Linked DNA regions of Rhinolophus ferrumequinum. The protein of the gene in region 2 binds, or shares a complex with, the protein of the main gene of each other region. Links are inferred from orthologs where the notes say so. Each region holds a gene or a part of one and is shown on either strand. Other genes may lie near its edges.

Region 1 (7,978 bases), on a different chromosome or scaffold from region 2:
AGCAAATTAAGGTCCTGCTAACAGCCAAACCAAAAGAAATATCCAACAGCATTATTTTTAATCTCTAAATAATCCACATGAGTAATTCCGGAAACAACAGTATCCTTTTCATGTATTTCTAACATCCCAGGAAAAAAATGCTAACAATTAAGGAATGTATCCAGGGAAGTTGTAACTGTGTAATCAGGTAAGTCATGGGGACATGAAAACACTGTAATTAAATTTCTTCTAGTTAAGACTTCAAATTAATAACTCTCATAATATCTCAATACAATAACAGTCAAATTTGAGGTACTACTTCCCATAAGTGTACAGTCACACACAAACCACAACAATCTCCCAGTTCACAATTAAAGGAGAAGTACCACTCATTATCTAAGATGCACTGTGGACACCCATGACCAACATTACCTAGACTTCATGGATGGATGTTAATAGACATTACACTAACAACAAAACAAAAAGGGATCTGGGGCCAAATATGGAAAACATTACTGCACTGTTTCTCTCAGGCCTTAATGTGCTAATGTGAATTGTGACCTTGGGGGGAGAAGAAAAGGACACAGCTTTGTTTCCCAAACTTATGTGACCCCTTTTCCTGTAGCATCTCTTAGAGCTACAGATGCTCCTCAATTTACAATGGGGTTACATCCCAAAGAACCCATCGTTAGGTTGAAAATATTGTAAATTGAAAACGCATTTAATACACCAATCGTACCAAACATCATGGCTTTGCCTGGCCTACCTTAAACGTGCTCAGAACACTTACATTAGCCTTTAGCTAGGCCGTTAGGTTAGGCAATTACTCATGAGTAACTGCCTTCCTCATCTTCTAACCAGAAACAGGACGCACAAGATAGGTGTTTCGTAAACATGATGGGATGCAAAAACCCAAAACACAATATCCAAGAATCACTGGCAACACAGTCCACAGTGGAGTACTGGTTGTGATCACAGGCCTGACTGGGAGCTGTGGCTCACCGCCCAGCATCACCCGAGTATGGTGCTGTATATCACTAGATGGGGAAGAGATCAAACTTCAACATCTGTAGTCCGGTTTCTACTGAATGCATATTGTATTCACACCATCGTAAAGTCGAAAAATCGTAAGTGGGATGTCTGTTGTGTCACAAATAATGCCACCTTAAGCAACACAGTTTTGGATTCTAAAACTAAGTAAATATTGTTACCGTATTCTGAGTCGGTAATTAAAGGTACTGCCAGAAACAGTCTTAGCGGAATTCCTGGGATCATCGAAAGTCTTAAAAATCCTAAATTAAACAAAGAGATGACTAAAGGCCCTTTTTCCTTACCCATTTCACAGCATTTTAACAGTAACCATTTCACTACTCAAAAGATTAGAAATTCTACTTTGTTTCTTACAAGAAACTACCAATAATTTTGAAACATACTGTCCTATCTTACATATAATCAAGACTGATAATAAACGTTCTGTAAATTAGTAGCTACAATGTTTTGGTGTTTGCCCATTAACTAGGGCTGGGGGAGGGGAGTTGAGAGAAGCCTCCCTCATTTCACTTGAACCCCAACTGAAATTTCACAAAAGTTCAGTCTCTAAGACTGTTCACAAGCTCAATGTGTTCTAGTATACACACCCAGTACAGGTTTAATTTTCACTTCCTAACAAAAGCTACGTAGAAAGTAATTACTGTACTCTCTATCAATCCTTTCCAACTGCAGAGTTCCTTCCAGAAAATTCCAACAGAATAAAGTTATATAGGTATTCGCATTTTGGTAGGTATGTCGTCTTTGGCAGAAATCACGTTACGTAGTGTAAGCCTTTAAAACACTGAGATGTATTGTGTTGCTTTTTGATATGTAGCTAAACAATCCTCCTTTGCCACTTCAACATGCAGGAAAAACCATCTCCAAAACCCGGAATTCCATCCCACAAGTCAAAGAAAGCAAATAAATATGAAACAACTGCGCAAACAGACTTGGGATGCCTATTTCGTGGCATTTACTGCGGAAGCCGTCACTAAAACCCAGTCTGGTAATGTGGGGGTCGCACCCCCAGTGGAGAGGCGGGCAGAACAGAACCAAAGGCACTGCGCAGTTTCCGTGTCGTGCGATTCATCTCCACAAACGCTGCGGAATGCGCTCAAGGTCATAGTGAGAGAAAAAGTGTGTGTGTGAGTGCGCAGACCCCGCCACCCGCCCGTCTCGCGGAAGGAGCCTAGGGTGAAGGGTGCCGCAAGAAAAATGGGGCTGTGGGCGTCACGGGGAACGCCAAAGCAAAGCCCACCGCGAGGACAGGAGGGCAGCGCTGGGCTGTAGGGGCCCATCCACAGAACTCCTTCCCTTCTCTCCCTGGGGTCACAACCCTGTCCCTCCCCTAGCACAGTGTCCCGCACTGCCTCGCCCCCGCCCCGGGAGACCCGTCCTCTCCTCTCCCTCCCCACGTCTTTCCTTCTCTCCTTCCTTCCTTCCTCTCCTCCCTCCCTCCAAGCCCTCCAACCCCCCTCCCGCGCCCCGGGGGACGCCTACCCTCCCCCTCTCTCCAGCCCCTCCCACGCCCATAGGGTCCCGTTCCCCTTCCCCAGCCCAGCCTGGGTTACACAACACTCACCCCGCCCGCCCCCGCTGGCACCCGCCGCAACGATCCCCCCCCCTCGCCCCGGGATCGCGCAGCCGCGGCGTCCGGAACAAAGCGCGCGGTGCGGCCGAGCCGGGGGCGGCGGCCATGTTGGCGGGGGCGGCGAACAAAGGCGTGCGGCCCGAGGCCCCCACCCACGGCCCGGCCGGCAGGGGGCGCTGTGCAGGCGCCGCCCGGACAATGAGCCGCGGCCCGTCGCTCCCCGGGCGCCACCGCCCCTCATCGAGCCCAACGCGCCCCCCTCACGGCGCCCTCTCCCCCACGACGCACGTGCCTCACCTGCCGGCCACCGAGGCCGCTGTCCGCAGCCTGCGGGGCCCGCCGTCCCGCGCCGCGCTCCCGCCCCGACCGAGCCAGACGGCGCCGCCCCGCCCCCGCTCCGCCGCCGCCACCGCCGCCGCCGCCCGCCCCCGGCCGCACGGCGCACGCGCACTACGCGGGCCGACTGCGCCGGCTGCGCGGTTCGACCCCGGCCCGAAGGGCTGCACTGCGCAGGCGCTGCAGGCAATGGGCGGGGCCTGGCGCTGCTCACCTGGCCGCAGGGTGGGCGGGGCAGGACTGAGTTCTGCAGGGTCTGGCCGGCGACGGGGCAAGGCCTGGTGGGCAATGGAACGGAGCCTGGCGCGGCTCACCTGGAGGTGGGGCGGGCGGAGAAGGACTGAGAGGGCCGGGACCTGGCGGGTGACGGCGCGGAGTCTGGTGGGGCGGGGCCTGGAGCTGCTTTCACCTGGTGGCGGGGTAGGCGAGCATGGCCGCCAGGCTCCAGGTGCTTTCCGGGAAAGGGCGGTGTTCAGGGCGCGTAGTCCCAGGAGCCTAGGTGGACTAGACTGGCGCCGGAAGTTAGGCCTCCAGGGAAGTTTCGTTTTCGCTCATTGGGAGGCCTTTAACCAGCCCTCCTTGTCCTTGCATTGAAGCAGCAAGTTGTTCTGCGGCGCTCACGCTGCCCGCAGGATGAGGCCAGACACCTTGGCAACGGCGTCCTCGGGCTGAGCCGTGCTATCCACCGCGGGCCCGCTTCCCACGCGGACTCCGCGGTGGCCCGGACCCAAGCTGCACCTTCTCACTGCCCTACCTGGCGGATGGGTGGTCTGGGATGCTTCTGCAAGACCTGACGTCCTCCCAGTGGCCGGCCCCTACCGCAAACGGGAGTACTGGCCGGGCTCACCTGAGATCAGGAGCCAGGCGTACGCGCATCAACTTATTTGACTTTGCTTCATCCTAAAAGCCCTTTGAGCGTTAGGGTGGGTGTTTGCAGGATAGAGAGGAAGGAACAGTTTTGACTCTTGCGGGATTGAGTGGGGGACCTGGAGGCTGAATCCCGGTTCTGAACCCCAACCCCTGCCCGGTGCTCTCCCCTTTCCCCAACTTGCCCCACTTCCAACCTAGGCTCTCCCCTTCCTCCCAACAACCCTCCCTCCAGCTCCCACTAGCCGGTGTTCTCCACGTGGTTCCTCAAGTGCGAAAGCACAGCCATAACAATACACCGCCTCCCCAAGTGTTGTCAGTGTAAATGACAAGACTTATTATTAGAAAGCACTTTGTACACTCTAACCTGCAGCACGCCTGTTTGCAATACTCTGGAATTTCACTAGCACTCTTTTCCAAATAAGATTGGTACGTGCCTGCTCAAACTGATCATGTCAGATAAGCAGTGGCAGGCACGGGAAGTTCATAGGCCAACTAGAGGGCCAGTTTAGATACAGACGTATAAAAGTGAATCATCGTACTTAGCAGTTAGGAAGTATTGGGAAATTGTTACTTTTGTTTGTACGTTTAATGCTGATGCCCCAGAAGGTAGTGGAGCATTTCAGGAACAAGGAGGAATGGTGCCAAGGAGCTGGTTGGAACACTTCAGTGGCTCCCTGGGTTTTTCCACCTCACCACTATTGACATTTGGGGCCAGATAATTCTTCTTCAAGGGGAATGTTTGACAGCATCGCTGCCCTCCTCCCTCTAGATGCCAGCAGTACACCCACTCCCCCAACAGTACCACAACCAAAAATGTCTCCAGAAAAAGCCGAATGTGTTGTGTCATTGTCCCCTGCCCCCTCTCTGAGAACCCCTGGTTTAAATGTTGCCTCTAGTGATGGTCCCTGAAGCTATCAAGGCGGGGGAGCTCAGCCAGCCCTATGTCAGAAAAGGACACGCTCTCCAGAGGACAACTACCAGTTCTGCTAGTAGTATCTCAACTGCCCTCTGCAGCCTTGCTCATTAGCATACCGACTGTCAAAAATGGGTTTTTACGTCACCCATGTGTATCTGCCAAAAATCTTTAAAATGAATCTAGTCATCACTGGGTAAAAATCAGACATCCAGATTGAGGTACATTCTGCAAAACAGCTCCACCAAACTCTTCGAAAAGCCAATACAGTAGTACATCGGTTTTCGAATGTCTCCATTGACGAACATTTCAGTTTACGAACACCCTAAACCCAGAAGTAAATGCTTCGGTTTTCGAACACGTCTCAGAAGTGAAACATGTCACACGACTTCCACTGAGTTCAAGATCCTGAGGCCTAGCTGTCGGCTGTTTTCGAACGTTTCAGAACTCTAATGGTCTTCTGGAACGGATTACATTCAAAAACCGAGGTCTCACTGTATCAAGAAAAGCTAGGGAATCACTCCAAACATAGTAGGAGACCACCAACAAATCATCACGTGACCCTTCATCATACACCAGGTTGAAGGAAAGAAGTTATGAAAGAGATTCCAGGGACAATTGGAGAACTTTGGAGTAATATTAGAGTCTTATTAAATCATAATTAAAGGTTTCAGTGTGGTGATGGCTATTACTGAGCATGCCTTGTTATTAGCAGATATGTGCTGAATTATTTAAAGTCAAGCTGTGGTGGCTACAACTTCCTTTCAAATGGCTCAGAAACAGGTGTGTTTTCTATAGAGATAAGCATATAGAGCAAAATGGTAACAACTGGGGATCTAGACAATGGTATATGTGTATTCATTGTACAATTTTTTTCAACTTTTCTGAAAAGCTAATTTTTTTCAAAATAAGCTGGAAAAGTGGAATTCAAGTTATTTCATGAATTGCTAGAATGCTCAGTAAGCCGCATTGCTTCAGCTTCACAGGCTGCCCCTGCTCTCTTCCAACTTGCTGACCAAACATTTCCAGAAACTTAAATATACAGAGGGTGCCAAAAAGTGTATACACACTTTAAGAAAGGAAAACTATTAAAATTTTAATACTGTATACTGATAACAAAAGATGAATACAAGTCACGTTTGACTTCTGCAATTACAAGAGGTGCCCAAAGTGGTTACCATCAGCGTCCAGACACTTCTGATTATGGCAAACTACTGCTTCAGCAACGTTGACCAAAGTGTTCACTTGTATACATTTTTTTGGCACCCCCAATATAGTTCATTTCTTTACAATTTCTCAATCACATTTGACTTCTGGATTTTAGGTCTGCGTGGCCTACGTCTATTTTCTTCCTGCAGGAAGGAATTTATATTTGCTTATAGCTATAGTAGGGTCGATGCTTCTTTTAATGCTGTGTCCCTGGGTTCCTACTTGGGAATATGAGAATTTCTGCCCCAGAGATGAATATGTTTGTTAACCTAAAAATAAATGGCCAAAGTGAGGCAACGAGCATGTATTTGAGATCCAAAAGAATAGCCATTGGAGAAGTACTGATTCAGGCAGAAACCCAAATAGTGTTCAGGTTAGGAGGCAGAGGCAAAGGGCTATTTATAAGAAAGGGAAGGGGATCAATTACATCAATAGAAGGAAGGCATTTCTATAGGGGCAGATAAGCTAAATTAGTGATGCTAAATCTAAAGAATGTTTCTAATTTTCAGTCCAGTAGTCATAATAACTGCTTTCTGGTTGTTTTTGCAAACAGTTGTTTGGGATATAACGTTGCTTTAGGCCCAGTCCAAAGGATATTTTGCCCTGTTTTAACATTCCAAAGGGTTGAGGCAAAGACTGCAAGGCAGTTCTGGAATGGCAGCTCAACTCCATTTTAAAGTGGCTCCATTTAGTATTTTTCTTACACATTTGTGATGTGGGAGTGGAGCGAACTCAGACCCTCGGTGAACCCTGGTATATCTACCCTACTGACATGATGTGATACTTGGAAACCAATCCTTTTCAAATTAGTTACATAATTATTCAATTAATGCAACACAGCAGAAAGTATTCAGAATCCAGTGTATACCCCTTACATAGGGATATTTCTTTGTATTGGCTTAACCTCTAGGTGGATGAGCTTGGTGGGCATGCTCTCTCCCCAGTGCTGCCTGGGTCACCCCGAGTTGGTCCCACAGCCTGGTCACAGGCAGTGGGGGCAAAGTCACTGAAATGGAAGTGTTCAGGGTTTTTACACGGGGAACACATTGACCCTCATGGATGGGGCTCATGCTGGCTCTCCCACTCCCACCTGTGACTATATGTTTGTGGCTACACTGATGAAGCAGTCCGAACATGTGACTCCCGATAAGATGGTGGGCACACTAGGACAGAGGCAGCTCTTCTCTGATCAGGCGCTGGGCCAGATCTCTCTGATTGACAGCCATGTTGGTACACACTCTACAGGACGAAGTACAAGATCCAGAGCCTTCCTGGATGGCCAGCAGTAGGACCAGAAAGAGGGGAAGGGGTAAGGAGACCTCAGGAAGGGCAGAGTCAGCTGTGCCTGGAACCCCTCCACTCCTGGCTACAGGAGGCTGGAATTGGTGACAGTAGATTTTCCAAGCCTCTCATCACCCTTTGTCATCTTATCTTTTATCACCCTTGCAGAGGACAGATCCTTTGATTCCTTTCCCTGCTGTATCTCTACTGCCTAGGATAGAGCCTGGGAAGAGAAGGGGTTCATTAATGACTCTACAGAAGAATCTTTGTGGTCTCTAGATGGCTTCCCCAGGTTTGCGTCACAACATAAATGCTAAAGTTATTCTTCTAGGGGAAGTAACCGTTTAGGTAAAACAATCAGGTTCCCACCCTAAGATGCTAATGCTGGCCCTGGAGAAGCCACACCCAGTTCTAAGCCCAGCCCTCTGTCTTCTGACCCCTTCCCCACTCCCCCAATTCCCTCTCTAGGGTCCACCTCATCTAGGGTATGAGTCCCCTCCTTTCCCATTCAGAATGGAAGGGGTCTGGCCACCTAGATTCCATGGAAGCCGCAGGTCAGGTAGACCCCACACTAAAGTGTCTTCCTGTTGAAGCGGGAGGGAACTGGCCTGCTGCAACTCTCTCTGCTTGGATGTCTGGCAGCAGTGGGATTAGAAGTGTCAAAGAGGGCCACTTTTCTCTCTGGAATCCTGTCTCTCAGAAGGTACTCTCTCCACACTCATTTTTGGCTTGATACTTTGTTCCTGGAACCTTAGCAAAATCACAAATGA
Region 2 (7,671 bases):
GCCCTGGTGGCATTAGCATCCTAAGTCCCATTATTGCTAAAGCCTGTCTGTGTCCCTGCCCTTCCCACGATTGGACAGTCAGCCCTTTCTTGAATTCCATAAGCCAATAAATCCCGTTTTGTTTGACCAAAATCCCCAAAGTGTGGGATCTGCAAACAAGCAATTACAGCATGCTGTGCTGAGTTTCTTAACAGAGGTGTTCCAGCTGACTCAAGAGCTAAGAGAAGGGGACCCCCTGACTACATGTAACTGAATAAAATTTCCTCCAGGAGTCCGAGTCTACTAAGTTTTAGGGAATGAATAGTTCAAGCAGTGAACACTACTATGACATCTTTGTTAGGTCATTATTTTTCTTCTTTTGGATGATTTTAAGGAGACTCTTGTTAATAGGATTACTGAGCTAAAGAGCACGGGCATATATTTATTATGGCTTATGTAGACCACTACAAAATGCCAAGTAAGCTAGGAGTGAAGCGACACCCTCCCACACTTAGGTTTCAAACAACCTTCTCCTCATTTCAAGCTTTGTCTAGCCTTATTTCCTGCAGCAGCCCACTCCCCATCCTGTCTCATCACTGAGGCCCTAAGATGCCTCCTACAGTAAAAGCTGTACCAAAAGGAAATGTTTCATCCCAGCTTGGGCGTCCAACCCAGGGGACATTATGGAGAGTGGCCTCGAGCAACTGATTGCTGAAACAGAGGTAATTCATCCCACCTCTCCTATCTCCAGTCCATCCTTCCTGTTTTAGGAATCTCATATTTCAAGGTCAAATTTGTTTTGTTGAGTTACAGACATACTTGTCTGGCAGATCTGTACCCTCTTCCCTCCACATGGGGCTATCTCAGTAATTAAGATTCCAAGGCCTTCCACAAGTACTCATTTAGCACTATGTAGCCAGTGGATGGGAATTCATAATAAGTCCGTCTAAGACAGTCTGGAGTCCCCTTCAGATGCTGGGCACAGAGAGGTCACTCAGCACCAGGTGTGACAGACGAGCCCCACCTCACAGAGGGACAGAATTGCTCTGTGACTTCAAGTCCTTTGATCTCAAATGACTTGTTTCTCTCAAATTCAGTTTCTTTGTGTATATATGAGCTAGTAATATCTATCCTTTCATTCATTTAACAACTACTTAAAGCTCAGCAAGAGGCAGCGTGGTGCTATAGTGGAAAGATCAAGGACTGGACAGAGAGAACTGGAGTTGAGTCCTCCTTTTGCAACTAACCGCATTTCATTAAATCTAGAACATCACAGATTGCAAGATGAACCATTATTTTATGTACCCCTAAGAAAAAAATGCTGCCAAATTCTGACTCAGTGATTTCCTAGCTTTTGGAATTGTGTTTTATGGTTATTAAAAGAGCGGTTAGACTGATATTTTGACATAGATTTTTATTACACATCACTCTGCGTATAAATAAAAATGAAAATGTTAGCAAAATAAATTGGTTAAGGCTGCCAAAGCCCTCTGATCAAAGACCACCAGAAACAAACCTGTAGTCAAAAACAGTAAGGTTTATTTAACTTGCTGCAGTAAAGGAGGATGCACCCTAAGCAAACCTTCATGTATCTGCTTAAAGTTGGGCTTTCATTCCGTGATTCCATGGAGGGATTAGGCCAGTGGAGACCAGTTTTGGATTGAATACTGTTAAGCAGCAGGAGCAATTCAGGGACTGGGTATCTTTATAATGTTTATTTAGCAGGCAGGATTCAAGCAGGGCTAGAGAGATCTTTGGTAAAGCAGCAGCAATCACTGAGAAAGGTGAAGTCATTTCTGTGGTCATGAAGTAGCCTTATCGACGCCAAATTCCAAGCATGGTTTATGTTCTGCTGGTGACATCATGTCTGAATGGGATCCTTCCCAGACCCGACTCCAGTGTGTGTACATGTGTTGGCTTCCCCATACCAAGAAGCAGGGTGTATGAGAATTCAACTCCTGACACTATCTACCCAGAGGTAGAATCAGATTCCACAGGTAAAAGGCACAGTCTCAGAAGATGCCAGTTGGGCTACAAATTGGATGTTCCAATGACCCTCTCCACTTCAGGATACTAATCGAAAGTTACCTGTACTTCTGACCAATGAGCTGTAAATCAGAGGTTCCCACGATCCCCTCCTTGGGTTCGGTTAATTTGCTAGAATGGCTCACAGAACTCAAGAAAACCCATTTTACTTACTAGATTACTGATTTATTACAAAAGATATACATCAACAGCCAGATGAAGCGATACATAGGGTGAGGTCCCAAAGGAACTTCTGTCCTCATGGAGCTTGGGTCCTGCACAGTACCAATTGGAAGTGTTCTGGTTCCCCAACATGGAAGAGCTCCGATAAAGGGCTGCTGAGCTGTCCTTTTTAGGTTTTAATGGAGGGTTCATTACATAGTCAATAATTGACTGAATCATTGGTTATTGGCAATTGGGTCAACCTCAAGCCCCTCTGCCCTCCCAGAAAATCAGAGAGTGAGACTGGAAGTTCCAATCCTCTAACCACCTGGTTGCCTCCTACTGGCAACCAGTCCCCACCCTAGGGTGGGGTCCAAAAGTCACCTCATTCACATCACAAAAGACACATTCATCAGTTGCAACTCTTAGGAAATTCCAAGGGTTTTGAGAGCTGGGAGTCAGGAATGATAAAGACCACATACAAATGAAGATTGTATTTTGACCAGATATGTACTTCTTATAAATCACAATTTGCACTTTCTGAATATCAGAAGGGCCATCTTACACTTCTTGATATTCCTAAAACTTCACATCGATGTCCATAAAGAAACAATCCCCGTTTCAAAGCTGTTCAAATGTGAGGGGAAATGTTCATCCTGGATTTGATGAAATAGGATTCTTGCTGTATTACCTTGCTCAAGTAATTTAACCCTTTAAGCCTCAACTTCCTGCTCTGTGTTGTCGTAAGTTCCATCCAAACCTGTAAGTTCTGAGGAATTCACTGTTAGGTGATCTCGTCGTCGTGCAAACATCACAGAGCGAGCGCACTTACACAAACCGAGGCTGTACCGCCTGCTACACACCTGGGCTTATGGGATAGCCTACTGCTCCTGGGCTATTAACCTGTATGGCACGTTCTTGTACTAAGTACAGTACTAAGTACTGTAGGCAATTGTAAAACAATGGTAAATATGTGTGTATCTAAACATAGAAAAAGTACAGTAAAAATACCGTATTAAAGGTAAAAAATGGTTCACCTATCTACAGGGTACTTACTAGGACTGGAAGTTTCTCTGGGTGAGTCAGTGGGTAAAGGTGAGTAGATGTGAAGGCCCAGGACCTTACTGTAAACTACTGGAGACTTTATAAACACTGTACACTTAGGCTACACTAAGTTTATTAAAAATATATTTTTCCTTTCTTTAATATTAAATTAACCTTAGCTTACTGTAGCTTTTTTACTTTATAAACTTTTAAATTTTTCAGCTTTTCTCTTTTGTAATAACACTTAGTTTAAAACACAACCACATTGTCCAGCTATACAAAGATATTTTTCCAATGATATTTTCTTTATATCCTTCTTCTATAAGCTTTTTTCCCTATTTAAAATTTTTCTTTTTTACTTTTTAAACTTGTTAAAAATAGGACACAGACACACACATTAACCTAGGCCTACACAGGGTCAGGATCAATATCACCGTCTTCTCCCTGGGCGCCTCGTCCCACAATAAGGTCTTCAAGGGCAATAACAGGCCAGTAGTTGCCATCTCCTATGACAATGACTTCTTCTGGAATACTTCCTGAAGGACCTGCCTGAGGTTCCTCTTGAGAAGGTGTCACTCTTTTCAGAAAGCGCTAATCTTATGGGACCATTATGGGACCACTGTATATGGCACACGACTGTCCATCATTCAGTGACTACTGATCCAGTATCATTTTAAGATGGATTTTCAGTGTCGGACATTTTCTCAATTGAACTCTCAGGAGGGCTTCTACAACAGAGGGTGATGCCCACCTGTGTCACAAAGGCAAAAGCTCAGCCACAGTAGAATTGTAATGCATCAGTGTCATGGCAACTGGACTCTAGACTTCGAGCTCTCAAGGATTTCTGTGTAACTTTAGGGAGAGTCACAATCTCTGCACTCACGTTTAAAAACTGGAAATTATAAACATCAGGGGTAGGTTGCTTGTGCCCACCCTCCACTCGACTCTTCATTTTTGCATGCCCTTGTCCAGAATGCTCCCCGATGTTTTTTCAGAGAAAGAATGAAGTAGTCTAAGAAAACATAACGTGTCCAAGATCACAGAGCTGTCAACTCGGGAGGAATTCCATCTCTACTCTTCCCACGCCAAGGCCCTTTCCACTTCCTCACGGCCCCCCCGCTACCGCCCCCTCCAGCCTCGGGCATCTTCTGGCGGAGGAAGGCATGGTCAGGGAAAGGCAAAAGCGACCCCAATCCAAAGCTCTTCATGCCACCAAAATATGCCTGATTGGCATCTCAACGAGCTCGACCCGCTGGGCTCGGCCCAGGATGACCTCGCCTGGAGGAGTCTGGGGTCCCCTATCGCTGGCCCGCGATCCCCTCCTCCACGCTGGAGGGCAGCCGGGAGCCAGCTCGGCCCTTCCCGCCGCCCCGCGGGTCCTGGGATTCTAACGGAGCCGCGTGCAACGGGCGGAGCCGCGTGCGATTGGCCCAGCCGGGTTCGGGGGCGGGTCCGCGGCGGGCCGGCCGGGCGGGAGCCGACAATGAGCCTCCATAAAAGGGAGCAGCGGGGGGCTGGGGCCCCGGATTAAGCCCTCCCCGCTCGGGGTCCGGACGCTCCTGGTGTCGGGGAGGCCCGGACGCGCCCGTCACAGCCCGGCTAACGCGGGGCGGCCGGCAACGGGGAGGGGGCTGCGGGCGGGAGCGGCCGCCGAGTGCGCGCCCAGGCCTGCGCGCTCGTCCTCCAGCGTCCGGTCATCGAAATACCCCCCGGCCGCACCATGGCCCTGAAGGCCGAGGGCGCCGCGCTGGACTGCTTCGAAGTGACGCTCAAATGCGAGGAAGGGGAGGACGAGGAGGAGGCCATGGTGGTGGCGGTAATTCCGCGGCCCGAGCCGATGCTCAGAGGTGAGGATGGGAGGGGACCCCACTTCCGCGTCACGGTCTCGGGCTCGCCCCCCAGTCCCCGTCAGGGGCCCGGGCACCCCCTCCCCACCTTGAGTCTGGTGCCCGGCGCCCCCCTTCCCCTGACGGTCTGGGCCCGGGCGTGCTCTTGCTCCGCCCCACTCGGGTTTGGAATCTCAGGCCTCCCTGAATTCCCCCTCCCCCGCCCCTGTCCAGGGTCTGGAGCCTTCGATCCACGCCCGGCGCGCTCCGGATCTTCCGGTGCCCGAGCGCCCCCTCTCCTGGGCCTCCTCTCCTGGGCGGTGGGATCCCGGGCAACGCCGGGTGTCGGGGGCCGTCGTCTCCTATCCTGCTGAGGCAGGCCCAGGGGCCAGGCTGTGTTGTAGGCCGAGGGGCGGCAAGGCCTCCAGGCCCGAGGCTGAGCGCTGCAGCCTGGTGTCCGGAGCGGTTCCCGAGGGTGGAGGCAGGCGCCGCTGCCTCCTGCCAAGAGGAGATTTTAAGCCCCTCTCCCACCCTCGCCCCGGGCGTAAAGCTTTCATGCCCCTCTTCCATTCCCGGGCCTTTGGCTTGCACAAGCCACAGGTGTCAGAATCTTCAGGGGTGAATGGGATTGCTTACGGCACCCAGTTTCGGAAAAGAAGTGCTTGTAGGGGGACCCTCAGCCACCCTAGAACGAGATTGGCCTTGGGAGGGGATTTGAGGAATGGTCTGGGAACGCTCACTTTCCCCTCCCCTTGGACCAGTTTCTTCAGTCCTCAGAATCTTGCAAACCTTAAGGAAGCACAGGGCCACCTTAATGGAAGACTTGATAGTCCTGAAAATGCACATATCTTTCATTGCCAGATTCCTCTTCTCTTTGGAGGGAAAGTACCTGAGAGGTTGAAAGGAAAGCTGTTCCTTTTACCTCAGTGGACCATCGTGTCTGTCTACACTGCTGCTCACTCTTTTCGAATCAGACGGTTTATAAAACGAGTGAGGGAAATCAAGGCGCCACCCTTCTCTGAGCTTTCAGTCCAACAGAGAGATTCTGTCCCTACTTCTGCTGATATTTATTGAGTGCTGGACGCTAGCTGTCTCAGGCCTTTCAACAACCTGTAAGAGCAGTCTTCTTCCCCACTGTTAGGGATGAGGAGCTAGAAGTCCAGAGAAGCTATAATACTTACTGGATACTTTCTGTGTTCCAGGCCCTGTTTTAGGCTGGGCACGCTAATGGCTATAAACAAAGATGAAACTCTGCTCTTCTGGAATATATATATATATATATTTATGACTGTGTATATATATGACTAAAGGCAGACAAATAAATGCATAGTGTGTCAGGTGACGATAAGTGGTTTGGAGAACAGTAAAGCAAAGTAAGGAGAAGAGTGGAATGAGTCTTATTTGGAATATCGACTGGTCAGGAAAGACTTCTCTAAAAAGGTGAAATGTGAGCAGACTCGAAGTACAGGAGTGAACCTTATAGGTGACCGGATAAAAAGCATTTTAGACAGAATCGTAAGTACAAAGATCCTGAAGCAAGAAGCTTCTTGAAGATTTGGGTGGGAGAGAGAAAGGATGAATTCAAGGTTTTAGCCTGAGCAACTGGAAGGACGGGCTTCCCACTTACTGAGGAGAGAGGCCCTGGATGCAGGCTTGCGGGGAGATTGGGAGTACAGGCTGGAACATGGCAAGTTTGAGGTGCCTGTGACACATTCAAGTGGAGACGTCAGACAGGAAGTTAGACTCATGAAGAGCATGGCTGGAGGTGTAAATATGGGAGTTATCAGCAAGCAGGCAATGGGACAAGACCATCAGAGGAAGAGGCTAGACAGAGAGAGGGTCCAAGGACAGAGTCATGGCACGCTCCAGTGATTCCAGGTTGGAGATGGAGTCAGGCCCTCGTTAGACATTTTTGAGCCACTACATGTGGGGCACTGTTCTTGGTGCTGGAGATACAAGTGTGAAGGATCAAAAATCTATGCTGTCATGGAGCCTACAGTGTAGTGGGGAGACACAAGGAACAAATATAGCACATGCTATGTTAGGTGGTGAGGTGTGCTGTGGAGGAAGTGAAGCAGTGAAGGGGAACGGGGTGCTCGGTGGAGGGGCGGATGCCAGCTTTCTATAGGGTGGTGGTGAAGGCCATAGTGAGAAGACAGTTCTTTAGCAACAGCCTAGAAAAGGTGAGGGAGTTGTGTAAGCACCTGGGAAGAGATGATGAGGGAAGGAAATGAACCAGCATCAGAGACTGAAAAAAAGCCCCAACAGAAGACCCAACAGAAGGTGGTACCTTGGAAGCTAAGTGACAGAAATCAAGATGGAAAAAGTGATCAATCAAAAGATGAGGTTTGAGGGGCGGGCCCGGTGGCTCAGGCGGTTGGAGCTCCGTGCTCCTAATGCCGAAGGCTGCCGGTTCTATTCCCACATGGGCCAGTGGGCTCTCAACCACAAGGTTGCCAGTTCGATTCCTCGACTCCTGAAAGGGATGGTGGGCTGCGCCCCCTGCAACTAGCAACGGCAACTGGACGGCATCCTCTACAACTAAGATTGAAAGGACAACAACTTGACTTGGAAAAAAGTCCTGGAAGTACACACTATTCCCCAGTAAAGTCCTGTTCCCCTTCCCCAATAAAAT

The links.
Region 1: the proteins of SPINDOC (region 2) and SPIN1 are in contact, whole or in part, in a crystal structure (PDB 7CNA), measured with the Homo sapiens proteins. The link is inferred for Rhinolophus ferrumequinum from reciprocal best matches to the Homo sapiens genes SPINDOC and SPIN1. Residues at the interface, in NP_612480.1 of Homo sapiens: Phe256, Ala258, Pro259, Ala260, Val262, His264, Phe265, Thr266, Asp267, Ser269, Phe270, Pro271, Gly273, Phe274, Val275, Leu276, Gln277, Leu278, Phe279, Ser280; in NP_006708.2 of Homo sapiens: Met154, Thr169, Tyr170, Glu171, Pro174, Pro206, Val209, Val210, Leu213, Lys216, Gln217, Val218, Glu219, Tyr220, Thr229, Val232, Val242, Tyr243, Ile245, Phe247, Asp249, Asp250, Tyr254, Val255, Tyr256, Asp257, Leu258, Val259, Lys260, Thr261.

Annotation. Positions count from the first base shown.
Region 1 is NC_046295.1:5,450,606-5,458,583, forward strand, and holds the start of SPIN1 (spindlin-1), read right to left. Parts: upstream 3,002-7,978; 5' UTR 2,897-3,001; intron 2,721-2,896; exon of another isoform or gene 2,591-2,720; intron 1-2,590. UniProt on the Homo sapiens protein: Chromatin reader that specifically recognizes and binds histone H3 both trimethylated at 'Lys-4' and 'Lys-9' (H3K4me3K9me3) and is involved in piRNA-mediated retrotransposon silencing during spermatogenesis.
Region 2 is NC_046294.1:7,509,161-7,516,831, reverse strand, and holds the start of SPINDOC (spindlin interactor and repressor of chromatin-binding protein), read left to right. Parts: upstream 1-4,668; 5' UTR 4,669-4,930; coding exon 4,931-5,057; intron 5,058-7,671. UniProt on the Homo sapiens protein: Chromatin protein that stabilizes SPIN1 and enhances its association with histone H3 trimethylated at both 'Lys-4' and 'Lys-9' (H3K4me3K9me3).